Linked DNA regions of Rattus norvegicus. The protein of the gene in region 2 purifies or fractionates together with the protein of the main gene of each other region. This does not show direct contact. Links are inferred from orthologs where the notes say so. Each region holds a gene or a part of one and is shown on either strand. Other genes may lie near its edges. The genes, in order: Bcl10 and Birc3.

Evidence for each region.
Region 1: the proteins of Birc3 (region 2) and Bcl10 purify together in Homo sapiens (affinity purification with western blotting; 5 studies listed by BioGRID and IntAct, with this or other methods). This does not show direct contact. The link is inferred for Rattus norvegicus from reciprocal best matches to the Homo sapiens genes BIRC3 and BCL10.

What each region holds. Positions count from the first base shown.
Region 1 is NC_086020.1:237,497,646-237,508,044, reverse strand, and holds the start of Bcl10 (B-cell lymphoma/leukemia 10), read right to left. Parts: upstream 6,865-10,399; 5' UTR 6,740-6,864; coding exon 6,683-6,739; intron 847-6,682; coding exon 558-846; intron 1-557. UniProt on the Homo sapiens protein: Plays a key role in both adaptive and innate immune signaling by bridging CARD domain-containing proteins to immune activation.
Region 2 is NC_086026.1:13,284,215-13,293,170, forward strand, and holds the end of Birc3 (baculoviral IAP repeat-containing protein 3), read right to left. Parts: intron 8,834-8,956; coding exon 8,785-8,833; exon of another isoform or gene 8,652-8,784; intron 6,082-8,651; coding exon 5,842-6,081; intron 3,461-5,841; coding exon 3,209-3,460; intron 2,626-3,208; coding exon 2,584-2,625; intron 2,260-2,583; coding exon 2,066-2,259; 3' UTR 1,488-2,065; downstream 1-1,487. UniProt on the Homo sapiens protein: Multi-functional protein which regulates not only caspases and apoptosis, but also modulates inflammatory signaling and immunity, mitogenic kinase signaling and cell proliferation, as well as cell invasion and metastasis.

The DNA.
Region 1 (10,399 bases), on a different chromosome or scaffold from region 2:
CAGGTTTAGACTCACGTGCTTTCTACAGGATTCTTACACACGTGTCAGTCACTGCTTATGGCCAACTGGTGGGAGAAAACACATAAAGAGCACAGCTGAACGTAACATCCACCTCCTATGGATTGTTCTTCAGTTGTTGGTACAGATAGGGTCTCACTCCCCAGACCTGGGACTCACAATGTAACCCACGTTGGCCTTGAACTTGTGGCAGTCCTCCTGCTTCCCATGTCTAGGAATACAGGCATAGGTCACATGGGTCCTCTTCTTAAAACGTAATGTAATGTAATGGTATTTTCTGGGCTTATTTTGAGTGGATTAAGTTAATGGCATATTTTAGAAATAAACTTTCATAAACACTAGTGTTAAAAGAATACAAATAGAGTCAAATGAGTTTATATCACTTTTGTGTCACGATAATATATCTGGTAAGAATGTAAACTGACTATAATTCTAAGCCTTAAATTTGGAAACCAAATGGTGGTAGTTGTGAAGAGCGCTGTGCTCTCCTGGCTCTCCGCTCTCCCCTCCCTGCACTCTCCTCCCCGCCCTCTGCTTACCTTTGAGGTGCTCCAGTTTTATATTCCGAAGCTTTAGCACCTCATCCGTTATCTTCTGAATCAGGAAGTTCTGTGTTTTCTCCCTGCGAATGGATTCCACAAGGGTGTCCAGTCCCTTGGGGTTTTCCTGTAAGTAGTCTAACAACTTCCCAGCCCTTTTTCTACTTGAAGTTCGGCAAGAAATTTCTTCTGTGTCTTCTCTACTTAGAATTTTTTTTGCTCGTAGATGATCAAAATGTCTCTCAGCTATGATTTTCTCACACAGGTAAACTCGCAAATTCTCTAAAGCCTAAGAGACAAAAGAAGATACGCTTCAATGTTACTTTGTAACATGCAGGGAAATCACAGGTGAGTGGTTAGTAGTTACTAATCTTTTTTTTTTTTTTTTGGTTCTTTTTTTCGGAGCTGGGGACCGAACCCAGGGCCTTGCGCTTCCTAGGCAAGCGCTCTACCACTGAGCTAAATCCCCAACCCCAGTAGTTACTAATCTTAACTGGTAGGAGGCAACGTTCTAAAGTTGGGAGGTCCTTTAAAATGCATGCTAAAGATGTCCAGCAGCACAGGCGGGTCCCACAGTCCTCAGATTGCTCTGTTCTGCCTCCCCTTCACATCTGAAAACTAACACCTAGCTGTTGTGAGGAGGGACCTGTAGGAACAAGAAGTCTGCAGAGGGTTACCTAGTTCAGGAGTAAAGATTACAAACAAATTTCTGTTCACTGTAGTAACTATCAAGTAAAGAATTTCACAATTAGGACCAAGACAACTTAGTGGGGAGTCTCACAATTTGCAGCTGTTTCATATTTATTATTAATTAGTACATCACCTCGGTGTGAAACCATCTGAAACACACAAACCCAAGTCCTTCCAAGGGCTATGTCTCTGCTTTAAGGTCAGTTAGGAAAACGATACAACTCACGGAGAGTCCTTGAGGAAGGAGAAGGAAGGAAGGGAACTCCTCACTGAGTCAGTCCTCTGGGAGGGAAGGGAGAAGTAAGGGAAGTACAAAGGAACATAGAGAACAGGAGAGTTCTTAAAACAACAATAAAGAAAAGGGGAAGCAGAGGAGAGCCTACAGTAGGGAAAGCCAGCTCAGCCTAGTCTCTATGTATTTAACTTCACTCTTCATTAGCCTTAATTGAAACTTTTTTTTAAAAAAAGGTATGCATATTAGTGAAGTAGCATGTAATTAATTCTCAGGCATGTACTGTGTAATGTTTAAATCAGGTCCATGTTTGTCTTAATAAATGGTGATTAATCTGATGCCAGTCATTTCATAGCTGTGCCTCTATTTACTGGACATGGGACTTGGGTAAATTAACCCCTGCGTCTGTTTGCTCATGTGACAGCTCAGAGGAATAAATTAATATATGCAGTGTGAAGAAATTGTAGGGTACACAGTGAACGATCCTGTTGGGGCAATGATGACAGCAAGTAACTTGACTCACATTATAATGAAGAGTTAAAGGCAGTGGAAGATTTCAGTAGAGCCTACTTAGTAAATGATGGCTGCAAAGTTGCTGCAGTGAAGGTGTCTGACAGGTTTTGTTTACTGAATTTCCACACACAGTTACTTATCTACACAGTAAACTTCACATGTCTATTTTAACACTGCAAACATGGGGCTCTTGCTAGGCAATAGCACACATAAGCCAGTCATAGTAAGACCATGTAAGTTATAGTAAGCCAATCACCACGACCCCACCACCACTCTTGCCACTGTCCTAGCTCAGGTCCTTAAATCCTGGACTGATAACAGAAAAATAACATTTTGTAATTCCTTCATACATGTACTAGAATTTATAATTTTCAAGAGAAAATAGAAATCTGAACCATTTCATAAATTATACCAACATGTGTTCTTCCCATGACTTATTGGAGAGTCCTGAACACAATAGTTGAGAGCACTGGGCTAGAGAGAGACAGCTCAGTGGTAATGAGCACTTGTTCTTGCAGACAATATGAGTTTGCTTCCAAGTACCCACATGGTGCGTCACAATATTCCACAACTCCAGTTCCAGAGGATCTGACACCATCTTCTGACCTCTGCGGATACCAGGGATACACATGGTATATACATATTCATGCAGTCAAAATATACATATTAAGAAAAATCTAAGCCATGACTAAGAGCATGGCTCTGCAATGAGATGAACTGCTGATCCCGAATCTCTAACATACTGTGAGAATTGGTACAAATTACCTAACCACCTTCAGGATCTTCCTTGACAAAATAAGGATAAAGAATTAAGCCCATCCAGGAAGACTAATTGGGATAGCGTGTACACAGTAGAGGTTCAGTGACCAGTGACCACTGGACTGTGGCAGGCAAGACTCTTGGCATGGCTCTGGCTACCTGTGCAGCTCAGTTCAGCAGTGCCTACCCTAGGACTTCTGCTCCATGTACAATTGAGGACTAGCCCTTCATGTTCCTATGTGTCTGACTTTCCTCTTCTCATTCCCCGAGCTCCTCTCCATCTTCTAAGTTTGAGGTTCCTGGTCATCTCTGGAAAGCCTTATTTAACATCCAGGATAAGGTAGACACGCCCGTGCTGTGGCACCAGATTCCTGCGTCGGTCATCTCATTTCCCAACTCATCATTCCACTGTGTCCCAATGCTTTCCCCCAAGTCACAAATGACTCCCTCTATTGAAGGGTCCTTCCTACCTTCATCGTTTTGGCTTCTCAGAGAAGGTACACAGCTCATCACTCCTTCCTCCAGAAACACTTTCCTTGTGAACAGATATGACACTGTCCTGATTTTTATCCTAAGAAACTTCTTTCTGCACCTCTCATCCCCTCTGGGGTCTTGCTATATAACCCAGCTGGCTCCAAAGTTGGGGTCCTTCTGTCTCCTCCCAAGTGACGGGGACTGCAGCTGGAGAGAACCTGAAAACTTCCCAAACACCTTATCTTCAATAGAACACTTGTATCTCTAGTTCAGAGCTCTCTTCTGATCTTCGATCTTTTTTTGTTTTTTGTTGTTTTTTTTTAAAATATTTATTTTATGCATACAAGTACACTGTAGCTGTCCTCAGACCAGAAGAGGGCATTGGATCCCTTTACAGATGGTTGTGAGCCACCATGTGGTTGCTGGGGATTGAACTCAGGACCTCTGGAAGAGCAGGCAGTGCTCTAACCGCTGAGCCACCTCTCCAGCCTTCTGATCTTCATTCTTACTCTTCCTCCAAGTCCCATCCTTTCTGTGTTCTTAACATGTACCCTGAACTTGTGTTTCATCCACGTGTATGGCCTTCACCTTGATCCTACCATCACCCCCTCTCAGTATATTCAAATCCTTTCATGGCCTTTTCAACTTTCCCTCATTTCCCTGGTCTACAGAAAAAAACAGAAGGATCTTTAAAAGTCGAACAAACAAAACTCCACTAATTCATTAGCATGACTCTACTAAGAGAAGAAAGTTAAGTTCTTCAAGTGTTTACTGAGCCCACCCTCCTAATTTCACCTTGTTACCATCTGCAATATTCTGACCGTACAGAGGTCCTCACTTAGGTCCTTGTCAAATTCTCTGTATCAAATGCTCTTCTCCCAGGTTCTCTATTAGAACCTTTAAGAATCAATCAAGCACACCTGAGGATCGAATTGCATGTACAATGACTGCCCTGGTGCTTGTCTTCGTAGCTCCGAGTGAACTTACAAATGTGCTTGTGTAAATGACAGACATCCTTTTCAGCTTTCACCACCTGTATGTTTGAAGCAGGTAAACAGCACGGACGTTCTGTTTACTGCTGTATACTCTGCATTTCAAAGTACAGTGCTTTAGATGAATGAAAATTTTAATATACTATTTTAAAGTTATTATTTTATGGCTATTTTCCTTCATTCAAGAAATTGAGCTTTTTTTTTTTTTAGAGATTTATTTATTTATGTGAGCACACTGTGGCTGTCTTCAGACACACCAGAAGAGGGCATTGGATCCCATTACAGATGGTTGTGAGCATCGAACTCAGAACCTCTGGAAGAGCAGTCAGTGCTCTTAACTGCTAAGCCATCTCTCTAGTCCCTTAGTTCTTAGTTTAACTGTTACATTATCAACTCAGAATATAAAGTTATCTCTATTTGTTAAAATGGAACAAATTCAACCAAAATAGGGGCATGTTAAATAAACATGAAGAAGGGGAGGAGCACTGAAGACTCGCTCCCAGCTAGCATGGGAGGACATGGACCAAGATTCTCAATGGATGTGCAAAACTTCACAGTACCAACCCCATCCCAAGCTCTCCTCCATCAAAACCAATGTAATAACCCACACAGCTAGCTATGAAGAGACTAACAGGCAGGTGACACACAGTACTGGGGAAAAGGTGCAACTCATGCCCCTGGCCAGGATTTTATCATGGTGCTCAATCTGTAACACTATAAATGTAGCAAATTCCCATTAAGTATTTTTGGACTATGGCTGACCCACAGGCAACAGAAGCCAAAGAAAGCAAACCCTGAGTCAGACAGAGCCCCATGGAAACAACTTCCCACCATTTATCCAAGCAGATAACACAGAAGGAACACCAAGCAGTTTTGGGGGAAGGATAACGAAAAGTTCCAGTTCTGAAAATAAAAGAACATGGCAAGCAGTGGTGGCTATGCCTTTAATCCCAACACTTGGGAGGCAGAGGAAGGAAGATCTCCAAGTTGAGGCCAGCTTCGTCTACAGAATGAGTTCCAGGACAGCCAGAGTTACACAGAAAAACAACAACCAAATGTATGATGTTATAGCTTGGTTCTGGTAGAAATAAAGGCCTGGAGTTGAGAAAAAAGGAAGTTCAAGAACTGCGGATAAATTTTTAAGCTTGTTATAAGCAGTTTAAAAAATAACTGGGTAACTACCTAAGAAAACTGTTTTTATAGACATCCTAAGGTGTATCTAAAGTTTCTCTAAGGTTATGGACAGCTGATACAGGTCTGACCTGAAACTGTCAGAATGGATAGACGTCGATGGGCAGAAACAAAGGTCTGCAGCACTCTTCTATCTATACTCAGGTCTTGGCTTGTTTTGCCAGCTACAAAATGAAAAGCAATTCTCTCCCTTAATGATTGTGAGAAAATTCAAAACTGTGTCCGACAACGGAGACCGCAGCTACCATATTTTAAGGTTACGGTTTTACTGGCATCTTAAGGCCGGAGTGGTTATCAAAGACCTAGTCTCAAGTAGAAATGTAAAGTTTCCCATACAGTAAGTGCCCTACCAATTCCCCTGAACACGGAAACGATGGCAGTAATGCCAGTTGGACCTTTTCCTTCTGGTACTGAGCTAGTCCAGCTGTAATTATGGGTTGGGTACAGTGCAATAAACCTTTACAAGGGGTAAGGTATAGTAGAAAAAGAGATCAGAAGCACGCGGACATCTGCAACAACTTGCAGTCAAGTTCGAAAAGACGACTTTTCACCAGCACTGCGGTGCTAGGTACGAACAAATTACTGTTTTTAAAGTGAATCCATATATATCATGTAAATGGTACTCATTTGATTTTTTTTCCTGGCAAAATAAGTAATTAAAGGGAATGAAAAACGAAGCACGTTGTGTTTAAAGCCATATTCTCAAATATTAATGTGTATGCGAAGTTCTACGTGGTCTAAGCAGGAGAGTCCAATTTAGCTATGACTATTTTCAACGTTTACCTGAGAGAGTCAAGTCTCAGCGAGAAGTAAGCACATCCCCTTCATTTAAATATGTGGGCGTCTGATTACTAGGGGAATTCCAGGGCGTCCTTTCAAAGGGCGAGCTTTCCGCAGCCCCCCGTATAGAGTTTCACCTATCTGCTCTATGCCTGGGGCATACCTGGTCCAGAGCCCGCTGTGGACAGATTCGGACCGCTCCCTAGCCTAGCAGCTCCCTCGGGGATGGGATGGAGTCGGGGATCAACAGGATGGAAAGCCACCAGCGAGAAGCCGATAGCAAAGATAAACCCAAGCCGGCGTTGACAGGTTTAACCGTGGACTCCCAGGTCTCTGGTGGATCATTTGAAGCCAGCTCCGGGGAAGCAGGCGGGTCGTGCTGTGCCGGGACCTGGCGCTCTTCCGACCTGAGGTTCCCCGTCGCTCGGCTCTGGGTTTCCGCTTTCCTCCGCCCCCGCCCGCCCCGCTGCGTCCAGCCCGGCGGAGCTACTCACGTCCTTCTTCACTTCAGTTAAGTCCTCCTCCGTGAGAGACGGCGCGGGAGCCTCCATGGCCGAGGCCGGGATGGCGTCCTTTCGGCCCGCGCCACCCCGCCCTGGCTAAGGGCTCGGGCCTCCGGGAATCGGGCTGTGACTTGGGAGGACTAGGAACAGAAGCGGGGGAACCGCCGGTTCACGGAACGCGGAGGAGGAGACCTCAACGCCCCACTTCCGGCTCCGCCTCCGGGGCCTGCGGCGCCGCACTCAGAGTCCATCCTAACTTAGGCACCACCCTTCGGCGAGGCGGGTCTACCTGCAGGCCCCGCCCACTTCCGTGCCAGCCAATCATTACTAGCCCTAGGTTTCGTCCCTTCTTCCGAAGTGGCTCCGCCCACAGCAGCCTTGCCTCTAACTACGCCCGCTTGTTATTTACTAGGATTGCGGATTGGCCCCAAGAGAAGGATTCGTTTCCGTGGGCGGGGCGTTGGCCGCTCAGTGTAGCGGGATCTCCCCGCCCTCGCAGACTCCTCTTTTGGGTAGAGTGTGGGCTGAGTAGGCCAGGGCATTTTGGTTTGCTTCTCCCTCTGTTGCGGAACAATTTCCTGTTGTGCTGGGCCAGGTTTTACAATTGCTTGATCATACACAAATGTATAATATATAACATAATATAACCAGTATTGAAATGTTTGAAAGCCTGGTCCGGGGCCTACTGCCATTTGCCACCTAGAACTTGGGAGACAGAAACAAGAAGATATTGAGTGCAGAAAACAAAATAACAAAACACAATAAAAAAACGAAAAAGGTGTTTAAGATTTAATAATTAACTGCAATCCCATCAATTTAGCAGCAGAGGTAGTGTTCAGGTACTTTTAAGTCTCTATTCGTTAGGAACATTTCTCCGTATTAATCTATGCAATAAAGATACATTTAAAAAGCTTCTAGGGTCTCTAGGAGCATATTTAAGGCTCTGAAGCTACTCGGTGCACAGTTGCACTCTCGTTTACTGTTAGCCTTTATCACTGTAAGTGCTAGGTATGTCGTGATGGGGAAGTTATCTTTTTGGAGGCCAAATGGCTATTTTCAGAATGGTATTTTAACTCGTAGCTTGTGCGGCACATAGTGGATAAGGAGCTCCACATAGAGTCCTGGGCAGAAAACGATTATGTGACCAATGCGGTAAATCTACAAGCACAGATTGAAATGACAAGACGACCAAAGGTAACAGGAATCTATCTAAAATCAAAGAACCACAAGAGGCATAGAGCCACATCTCCATAGCTCTGCTCAGAGCCCTGGAATCCTGGTATTCACATTATACCAGGTGTTTTTTCACACTGATGTCTAGTTTACTAGAGTTTTTCTGTGCCCTTAGTCATCCTGCATCTTGCTATAACCCAATTTGCTTAATCATTTGCTCTTTCCTGTAGCAAGTGTCTGTTCAAGTACTGAACTACACCCAGATCTTCTTCTAGGTTTTGATGAATAAGACAAACCAAACACCGTTTTCCTCGAGCTAGGGTGTGGCGGCACAAACTAGCTAGATGTATTGTTCAACCAGCTGCCTGCATCTGGCCCAGCTATAAGCAGGACTACATTGTAAACTTACTTGAAACATTAGGAGGGTTTTTTTTTTCTTTTTTGCAATTTTTTTTCACATCTTGGATTTATGGGTTTTGTGTTTGAACCCTGTAGAGAGCAATATCCTGTCTCAAAATAAAAACATTGGACATAGTTGTAAGCCCCTAGGAGGCTGAGGTAGGATTGTCTAAATTCAAGGTTATTCTGGGCTATTTAGTAAGTTACTGAGCCAACCTGTGCTACATAGTAGGACCCTGTCTCCAACAAGCAGAAGAACAAAAATAACATGTTTCCTCATGAAATTTATATTACAGCATGTGTTTGTTTGGGGTGGAAAAGGTGGACATTTGCAAAGTTCTGTGTGTAAGGTACTTAATATGCTAGAATCTCGTAAATGCTAAGAGGAAAAGTAAAGCAGGGAAATCGGAAGGGTGGAGATGGAGACCCCGTTGAGACAAAGGATACATTTCCCACCTGCAGGAAGTGAGGGAGGAGCCCGAGGACATAGTGAGAAATAGCTCTGGGTTGAGAGCCCTGCAATAAAGAGGCTGGGTGACAACGGGGGAGGTGAACTCTGTGTGCTACGGGCAGAGTTTAATCTGACTTCGCTCTGAGTCATACAGGTTTACTCTGAGTCAGAAGGAAAGCCACCCGAGGTTTCAGAGGAGCAGAGGGACAGATGCAATCTATGCTTTGAGGCTGGCTTTCACTGTTCTGCAAGCTAGCCTGCTACCTCTTTAATCTAGACCCCAGGGGGTAGAGACCAGGCCGAGGGGGGAGCAGTGAGAGAGGGGAAAGCGTCTGAATGAGAGGGGCCGGGGCAGTGGACTTGGTTTTGTAGCCATCAAGAAGAGAGCAGGGCTGGAGAGATGGCTCAGCCATTAAAGGCTAGGCTCACATCCAAAAATATAAGAAGAGAGTAGAGTGCAGAAGCAAGGGTGGAAGTCAGAGAAACAGCTGGACGTTTTAGTCTCCAGCCACCCAGGCATAGGGCATCGTGGTAAGCACTCAGCATCATCACAAAAAGGGTCAAGCAATTTTCCTTCGGAATAAGGTCTGTATTGTTCAAGTGTTGAGCTGGATTCGAGCCATCCTCCTTCTTCAGTCTTGTGCATGACCATGGCCTGCGATTCTAAAACCCTGCCTTTCTAATGCAGTCCCATCCCTCCATTAGCAAACTCATTTCCCCTTTCCTGCTAAATCACAGGGTCAGACTCTGAAGGCTCGGCTTCAAGCAAACAAACCCGTCCATTCTTTGCAATAAGTGCCTCTTCCTAACCGCTAACATGGACCTGAATTTCCATCTTAACAAGTATACGGACAACCTACTCTGGAACATGAGATACCCGATGCAAGCGCACGGCAGTGAGATCATAGCCTCTGATGCTGGGATAGTGATGGCATCGCCTAGCAAGTTTCTCGGGATGTTTCCTCATTGATAAGGGACACAGCGCATGAATGTGTTTTCAAAGCAGATCACGTTCTGAGGTTCCAGTGGTTGTGAATTTTGGGGAGATGCTGTCCGACTTCTTTTGTTTTCTTTTTTAAAAGAATTATTTATTTCACGTATATGAGTATATGACTGTTCATGTATATGACTGTGGCTGTCTTCAGACACACCAGAAGAGGGCCTCCGATCCCATTACAGGTAGTTGTGAGCCACCATGTGGTTGCTGGGATTTGAACTCAGGACCTCTGGAAGAGCAGTCAGTGCTCTTAATCTGTGAGCCATCTCTCTAGTCCTGTTCTGAAGCCTTGCTTAGGAAGGAGGCTCAGGAGAATGCCAAATGGTGAAAATGGCTGAACTTCCATAATTTCATTCCGATAACTGTGCCCCTAGGTAGGCTTATTATCTTCACTTGATAGGTGAAAACAATCGAGGCATAGAAAACATGATTTGCCTAAGGCCATCCCTCCTAGCAGGTAGCAGAATCAGGTTCCTACTCATGTCTGATAACAAGGCTACTACTGTTCTTAATCACTAGCAGTAGCTGACTGTCGGGACACAATTATTAAGAGAGGATACTTGGGCAGACCCTGGAGCAAGGCAGACATGTTTAATGTATTCAGGTCTGTTGTCTAGGTAGAAACTAGGAAGAACATATCCAGAAAAGTTATCATGTGTTGTTGCAGTAAATATTAAAAAATGGAACT
Region 2 (8,956 bases):
AGTGTAACAGTCACGAGCACACACTTCCTTTGATTGTAACAGTCACGAGCACACACTTCCTTTGAGTGTAACAGTCACGAGCACACACTTCCTTTGAGTGTAACAGTCACGAGCACACACTTCCTTTGAGTGTAACAGTCAGGAGCACACACTTCCTTTGAGTGTAGCAGTCACGAGCACACACTTCCTTTGAGTGTAGCAGTCACGAGCACACACTTCCTTTGAGTGTAACAGTCACGAGCACACACTTCCTTTGAGTGTAACAGTCACGAGCACACACTTCCTTTGAGTGTAACAGTCACGAGCACACACTTCCTTTGAGTGTAACAGTCACGAGCACACACTTCCTTTGAGTGTAACAGTCACGAGCACACACTTCCTTTGAGTGTAACAGTCATGAGCACACACTTCCTTTGAGTGTAACAGTCACGAGCACACACTTCCTTTGAGTGTAACAGTCACGAGCACACACTTCCTTTGAGTGTAGCAGTCACGAGCACACACTTCCTTTGAGTGTAGCAGTCACGAGCACACACTTCCTTTGATCAGCTCCCAAATCCTTGAACCTGAGGGTGGCCAGCCTTCAAGCAAGAGCTGCTCTGGCATTTCTCTGAGTAAACTGTCATCAAGATTTCAAGATTTCTTTATGTATGACAACAAGGAACACTGTGTCCCCTCCCACCATCCATGACAAATTCATGAATGGATGGAGAAACATCATTGCAAGAAATAACAGTGCCGGGACTGAAGAGATGGCTCAGTGGTTAGAGCACTGACTGCTCTTCTACAGGTCCTGAGTTCAATTCCCAGCCACCACATGGTGGCTCACAACCATTTGTAATGGGATCTGATGCCCTCTTCTGGTGTGTCTGAAGACAGCAACACTGTACTCACACACAGACACACACACACACACACACACACACACACACACACACACACTAAATCTTAAAAAAGAAAGAAAGAAAGAAAGGAAGGAAGGAAGGAAGGAAGGAAGGAAGGAAGGAAGGAAGGAAGAACAGAGAACAGTAGCAAGCAAAAGGCCAAAACCCAACTGCTGGCTCTGTATGCATTTCCAGTGCTGTAGAAGAAGCTGTAGTGGTTTGAATGGGAATGGCCGCACAGACGCTTTGTTTGAAAGCTGGGCCCTTGGGGAGTGACACTATTAGGAGGTGTGGCTTTGTTGGAGGAAATGTGTCACTGTGAGGGTGGAGCTTTGATAATGGACTGAACCTCTGAAACTGTAAGCCAGTTCCAATTAAGTGTTGTCCTTGGTCATGGTATCTCTTCACAGCAATGAAACCCTGAGACCAAAGATTAAATCTCACTTCAACTCCTGACTTTTTATGGTGTCACTGGAGATTCAAACTCAGATCCTCATGACTTTGTGCCAAGCACATTCCTGATTCACCATCTCCTTAGCCCCAACATTTAAGAATTCCTAAAAAGATATTGTAGGAATCTGGGTGTGATTAACCTGATCAGTATCATTTTAAAAAAGTTTAATTTTATTGCTTTATTAATTTTTCCTCACGAATTCTTTATAAAAGTTCCATATCCCTAAAATGTCATCCAATAAATAACGGGAATTTCTATACATAAAACACATGGAAATCTGTGCTCCCAGTTCTTAAAGCAACTTGAGAAGATTCTAGTTTCTGAATCATAAATGCCAACATTGTAAATCTTCTCTGAGAATTTCAGGACTCCAGGTAATACCTGCGTTTCGGGAATAAGAATGAAACCCTCTCTCATGGCATCTGAATATACAAACAGACATGCTTTAGATGCAGATAGTATGAAAATACTTTACTGAAAACAGTTCTCTGAGTTGGGAATAAATAGCACTTTTAAGGAAACCAATTAAAATTATTATGTAAGTAATCCATTCTTTGAGTTTAGACAAAAGGTTTTTTTTCCCCATGTTTTTCATTTTTACACTATTTAGAGGCAGTGTCTCATGTCATCCAGGCCGGCCTCAAGTTCCTTATGGAGCTGGGAGTGACATTGAACTTCTGCTCCTCCTGGCTGGGGTCACAACCGTGGACCATCAGTCCAGTCCTGTTCAGGAGAGAAATGTGCGCACTGTGCCCTTGATAGTCCCTCTGCAGATGGGACACTTCCTCAGAGAGGGGGCACATTCTTTGCACACGACCAGATGGCCACAGGGAATGAAAACGAGGGACACCTCTCGGTCCATACACACTTTACACGTTCTCTCTTCCTGGAGTTTCCGCAACTGTTCTTCCATCGGTAGAGCTGTGAAGAGGGAGATATTATTTTGTTTTAAACATAGCCTGACTTCAAACTCTGATCCTCCCACCTCCAGTTTCCAAATGCTGGTCACACAGCATATGATGCCATGTAAGGGAAGAGAAAAGGATTTTTTGTTTGTTTGTGCACTGCTGGGATTGAACCCAGTACTTTGCTGAGGTTAAATAAGCACTCTACCACCAAGCCATCCTAGTTGGGGCAAGAAAAGGATTTTTTAAGCAATCCTTAAGCAATCTGCTTGTCCTCTAGTGAAATCCAGAGAAAATGAAAACATTGATTTCTGCAGATTTAAAGTCTTAGCGCCATTACCTGCAATGTCATCTGTGGGAAGACTCCTAATGTTCTGTCGCACTAGGGAAGGAAAGGGGATAAGCGTCAGTATGGAATCAGAGTTGCTATTTACATTCTACAGATTCTATTTATCTAGTATTGATGTTTATTTGAGACACAGAATTATTTTGTAACCCAAGCTGGCATCAAAATCACTATCCTCCTGCTTTGGCCTCCTGGATGCTATGATTGCAGGTATATTTATTTATTTGTTTATTTACTTATTTGTGTGTGTGTGTGTGTGTGTGTGTGTGAGAGAGAGAGAGAGAGAGAGAGAGAGAGAGAGAGAGAGAGAGAGAGAAAGAGCGAGCGCGAGTGCACATGGGGCAAGTGGGCAGTTCTGGGATCAAACTCAGGTCATAGCTTACAGGACAAGCACTTTTACCTGCTGAGTGATCTCACCAGCTCACCTGAACACACACTACCACACACAGCAGATTTCAAACACTTTACACTTGGAGCAAAAACTCAACAAAAGCCCTTAATCTTGTGTAATTCCAATATATACATTGGACTGACTCCTTTTCAAGAATCTCCAATTATTAATAAGAGCCTGTTTGCAATTGACCTAGAAAGTTCCCCCAAATAATTTCCTAGCACTCACCAAATATATCTCTGTACAACCCAGGGTCGATTTCCTGCAGGGAGTTTCTGAATGAGGTCGCTGCGGTGTTTCCTTTCGCTAATACAGTATCGATCAGTGTCCTTGCCTGCAAGGTGTGTGGTTTCTGTTTTACGGCATCGTACTCCTGTTCGGTAATGACCCTGGCACTTAGGAGGCAATCCAGGATTGGTGTCACAGGCGTCAAATGTTGAAGAAGCACCATTTTGTTCTTCCGGATTAATGTTAGATCATCTTTATGAAGAGAGAGAGAAACACGCTCAAAGTCTGCTCACAACTGCCTTCCATACCTGCATCACGCATGAAGGAGATCATGTGTATTTGTCTGAAGATCTCATGTAACTCAGCTTGGCCACCAATTCACTGTGACATTAAACTTCTGATTTTTCTGCTGCTACCCTCAGAGTGCCAGCTTTCTAGACAGATGGCTCCAGCCCACCTTAGGGGGCGCTAGGGAGTAAACCCAGGGCTTTGTGGCTGCTAGGCAGGCACTCTACAAATGATTGATCTCCATTTTAGCACCCTACTCTCTACTATATCCATAGAATGCTGAATACTAATAAAGGCAGTCTGAAAATTATCTTAGGAGAGACAGTTAGATTTTAGATCATTGACCTTGTCACTAGGACACTGACATAGAACCACATTGCGGGCAGAAGAAATTGTGCTCAGTTAAAGAATCAGTCATACATGAGCATTTTGTTTTCTGTTTGGTTTTGTCTTTTAATGTAGCTTCCTTCTCACCGCAATGCTGAGGATGTCCTTGGATTTCTGCTGCCACTGCAAAGATGTGAGGACTATAGTAGGCAGGCCCTCCACACCGGGGTTATACACAGGCGTGGCACGTGCCTGGCAAGCACTCTGTCGATTAAGTTGCACTGACAGCCTTGCTGGGTTTTGAGTCTCATTCTGCTCTAACAGACCAGGCTAGTCTGGAACTCACTAGACAGACCAGACTCAGCAGGCTGAAGCAGAAAGGTCATGAACTCAAGACCGGTCTGAGCTACACAGTAAGATTCTGTCTCAAAAGTCTGCTTTCTGGTCTGCTGAGGCTCTGGTCCACATTCGGGAAAGAGACCAGGCTCTTATCTAGGTCAGAGTGTGGATAACAATCAGAACAAGGACAGGGCTGCACACGCCCAGAGGAAGGTGGCTCTGAGCACAGAATGGAGAACAGAGTAGCAAACACTGAGGATGGAGAACCTGCCTGGAGGAATGGGAAGCAGAACCCAAGGACTCCATTGGGGTTGTGAGGGAAGATGGCACTTGTGTGGGCAGGTAGGTTGAGCTTAAACGTGAGCCTAAGCCAGGCGTGGTGGCCCATGTCTGTCAGCACGGCCCTTGGGAGGTAGACGAAGGAAAATCAGCATTCAACTACATAGCAAGTTTTTTATATCAAGAGTGTGCTTGGGTCAGTGAGATGGCTCAGTGCAGAAATCACGCAATGTTAAAGGCTAATGTCATGACTCTGATACTTAGTGGAATCCAAAAGATGTGGAAGCAAAGTTCTCACTCTAATAAGATGTCCTCTGACCTCTGTCCTGTCATTGCAACCTGCCCCCACACACACACGCACATATACCTGTTCAACAATTAAGAACTGATTTGGTAATTACTATGTTGAAATCATACTCATGAGGGTAAAATTTGTGCTTTAAAGGGAAAACATAAAGGCTTATTAATTGAGAAGATCTGTATACACATGCATAAAATAAAAATCATGGGGTTGGGGATTTAGCTCAGTGGTAGAGCGCTTGCCTAGCAAGCGCAAGGCCCTGGGTTCGGTCCCCAGCTCTGAAAAAAAAAAAAAAAGAAAAAAAAAAGAAAAAAAATCACACAGATAGTATGATTGTTTTGGACTTTTAAAGGCTATAAGAACCAGGGGTTTTTGTTTTTTGGGGTTTTTGTTTGTTTCATATTTTTAAGTCCCATGAGTAATTATATGCAAAGCTAACAACTCATCCTAAGAATTTAAATTAAAAAAATAAAAGTTTGCAGGCTTAGAGAGAAGACTCAGTAGTTAAGAGCAGTGACTGCTCTTCCAGAGGACCTGGGTTCAATTCCCAGCACCCACTTGGTGACTGACCACTGTCTGCAACACTAGTTCCAGGGGATCCACCGCCCTCTTCTGGCCTCCATAGTCATTGCACAGACACATGCAGGCAAGATGCCTATATACACAAAATAAAAATAAATAAATCTAAAATATGTTAACATTTGCCCAACATATACATTTTTTAATTTAATGAGTAATTCTGGTATATTTTTAATAGTGTGTGTGTGTGTGTGTGTGTGTGTGTGTGTGTGTGTGTGTGCGTGCCAGAGCATGCAGTAGAGGCCAGGAAAACCTGTGTGAGTAAAGTCAGTTCTCCCTTCTTCCATCAAGTGGGTTTTGGCTCTCAAGCTATGGTGGTTCGGTTCAGCAGGAAACGCCCTTACCTGCTGAACTGTCTCCCTAGTCCTCCACAATGCACTTTATTGTGAGGAATCTATTTGCAGAATATGAGTCTAGAATATGAAACATAAGAAAGGCTGGGCTGGGTGGAAAGGCATCTTTTATGAACTTGCAGAGGTGACAGCACATCTCTCGGGAGAAAGGCCATGTAAATCTGTACCTGACTCCTCCTCCTCGGCCTCCTGCTCCGTCTGCTCCTCTCTCATCTCATCTTCTGCATCCAGTAGGCCTATCACGAGGTCACTGACCGTCCTGTAGTTCTCACCAGTGGCCAGGATCTGTCGCTGAACCGTCTGTCTCACCAGGCTCCTACTGAAGCCCATGTCCAAGGCTGCTTTAACCACAGGTGTGTTCATCATCACTGCATCTTCCCAATTCTCTCCAGGGCCCAGATGCACAACTGTACGGAAAGGGGGATTTAACAGATATCAGCAGGCCCACACACCTTTCTGTTGTGGTTGTCCTTCTAGGCCAGTCCAGCCTCAAGCTTATGTAACCCGGGCTAATCTCAATTCATGCCAATTCTCCTGCCTCAGCCACCAAGCGCTACGCACAAACCAACATGCCTGGCTTTATAACTAGAAGGTTACAGCAATATCAAAACCATAAAGAACAAAAAACATACACTGCACAGTATGCTCTTTGCTAACTTTAAAATGACATATGTTCAGTCATTAAAGTCAGAATATAAAATACTATTGTGATTAGCGCTACTCGGGAGGAGAGAGAACCAAACGTCAGGGATCGATCAGTCCACCAGAATCAGGGGCTTCATTCTCTATATTCAATAAACTAATGGGCTTTCTATAGCAAATATTAATTTCTACATATTTGTTTCTTTTGTTAGCACTTATTAGCTGTCTACAATGTTTTCGTTGTGATATATTCATATATCACATACCTTGAAATCTCTAGTTCCCCGCAAATGGCATGGTTTCACACTGTAATTTATGGCTGAGTCATTTTCTTTCTTTTTGTTTGTGGGGCACAGAGTCTCGGCATAAAGACAAGGATCTTGCCTCAGCTTCCCAAATGCTGGCTGTGCACAACGTATATCTACCCATCTGCCGTGAGCACCTTGGCTCAATCCATAACTTCACTACTGTGCTTTTGCACTTCTAAAGAAAACCACTGTTGCCCCTCAGCCCAGCTACCCCAGTGTCCCAGAGTACTGCCCACTCCCTTTCAGTCAAGAGTACAATCCAATGACTTAAATGCAAACCCGGGTCATACTCCTCGAATCTAACTGGGGCTTAAACACTGTGACCCGGCACTCTGCCCACCTCTTCCTACTCCCAGGCCACAAGCATTCTGCACTGAAACTCAGTTTCAGTTTGTTTGTAGATACTTATTTTATTTATATAAATACAGGAGCCCTTTACAGATGGTTGTGAGCCACCATGTGGTTGCTGGGAATTGAACTCAGGACCTCTGGAAGAATACTCACTCGTGCTCTTAACCCCTGAGCCATCTCTCCAGCCCCAAATGATGGACAGCTCTTGAGGCAGATAAATTCTGCCTTCAATGCTGCTGATTCATCGCGCTGGCCTCACATGGTTATCTGTCTGCCTGCAGCTCCCTCTTCTGGCTAGACAAAATCCTTGCTCTGTTCTTTGAATATCCTTATTCCATGTTGCTTAGCCTCTGTTGTCTTTGCCCAGAGGGTGCTCTTGTCAGTTAACTGATTCCTTTTCTTCTTGAGCTCTCTGCTAAGACAAGTGTTTCCTCCAGAGAGCCTTTTCTTTCATTTTTTTAGTTTGCTTTATGTTTTGTTTGTTTGTTTGTAGAATGGATGTGTGTACCACAGCATGTAGGTGGCCAGCAGACAACTTTCAGGAGTCAGTTTTCGCCTTCCATCATGTGAGTCCAGGGGCTACAACTTGGGCTGAGCCATCTGCCAGTCCTGTTTTGTTCTTCTAAGACAAGGTCTCAGTAGGTTACCCAGGCTGGCCCGGAACTCACTGTATAACCCGGGCTGGCTGGGAATGTATGATCCTTAACCTCCTTAGTGCAGAGATTGCAGACCCTGCCCCAGACAGATGCTACATCTGGCTTCCAGGAAGCCTTTTCTATCTCCCAGACTTAGATATTTGTCTCCTCGATTTCTTCTGCAGATCCTGTCCTATTATCTGAGCATTCATCTGGCCCCCAATGTCATTAGCTCACGAGGGCAGAGTCACATGTTTATCTTGTTTTCCATTCTTTCCTTTGAACAACATCAACAGCAAAACTCCACAATAAAAATGCTATTGCACTGAAGTTGAAGAGATGACTCCATGGTCAAGAGCACTGACTGCTCTTCCAGAGGACCCAGGTTTAATTCCCAGCATTTAATGGCAGCTCACAAGGACCTGACACCTCACCCAAACATACTTGCAGACAAAACACCAATGCATATAAATGAAAGTAAACAAATGATTAAAATGTATTGCACTGAACACTAAAACGTAGGGTCAAGGCCCCTGTTCAGATGATTGTTCCGCCCTCTCAGGTCCATTGACAATCTGAGCCTAGGGGCCCAGTGAAAGGAGGGGAGCTCTGTGCCCCCTCTCTGCGAACAGGAAGAGCATGCCAGCAGCAGGAGGCACAGGACGTTCATTCCCACAACTGCTCACTGTCAGGAGGCAAGATGAATGTAGTTTGTTTAACCTGTAGGTGCTTGCTGCTGTGGGGTGGAGCTGGGGAAAGAGGTTATGATTGGCATCCTCAGGTCATAGGTTCAATCCCCGGGACCATTAAAAACAACTATGCATAGAGACCCAAGATCCATACTTACACACGCTGATTCCATCTATGAGTTCTGAAGCATGAACTAAACACTTGCAATCTGTTGCACACTGAAGTTTGATAGACAGTAACAGGATGTCTTAATCATACATCACATTTTCAATTAGAAGTTAGAAATCCACATGAAAGTTCATTTCCTATGATAACCTTTCAACTGTTCTTATTTCTAGGACAGGCTCTCACATAATTCAGTAGGGCACAGAGCACATGGTCCTTCCACTTCCGCTCTCCAAACACTGGACTCCAGCTGCACCCAGCTTCCCCTTCACCTTAATACAGAACGGATCGCTTTAACACAGGAATTATATACACGTACTTGCTGCCTCTCCAGTCTCATCCTCTGGGGAGTCTGACGTAGATAATAGCTACAAGAAAAAGTACACATGTTAAAATACACACAGCATCCTAGCACTGCACTGAAAATGAGCGACAGACCTGCTCCATTTAACCTACTGCCACCTGACTTGGTCACCAGCAGGGCATTTTCT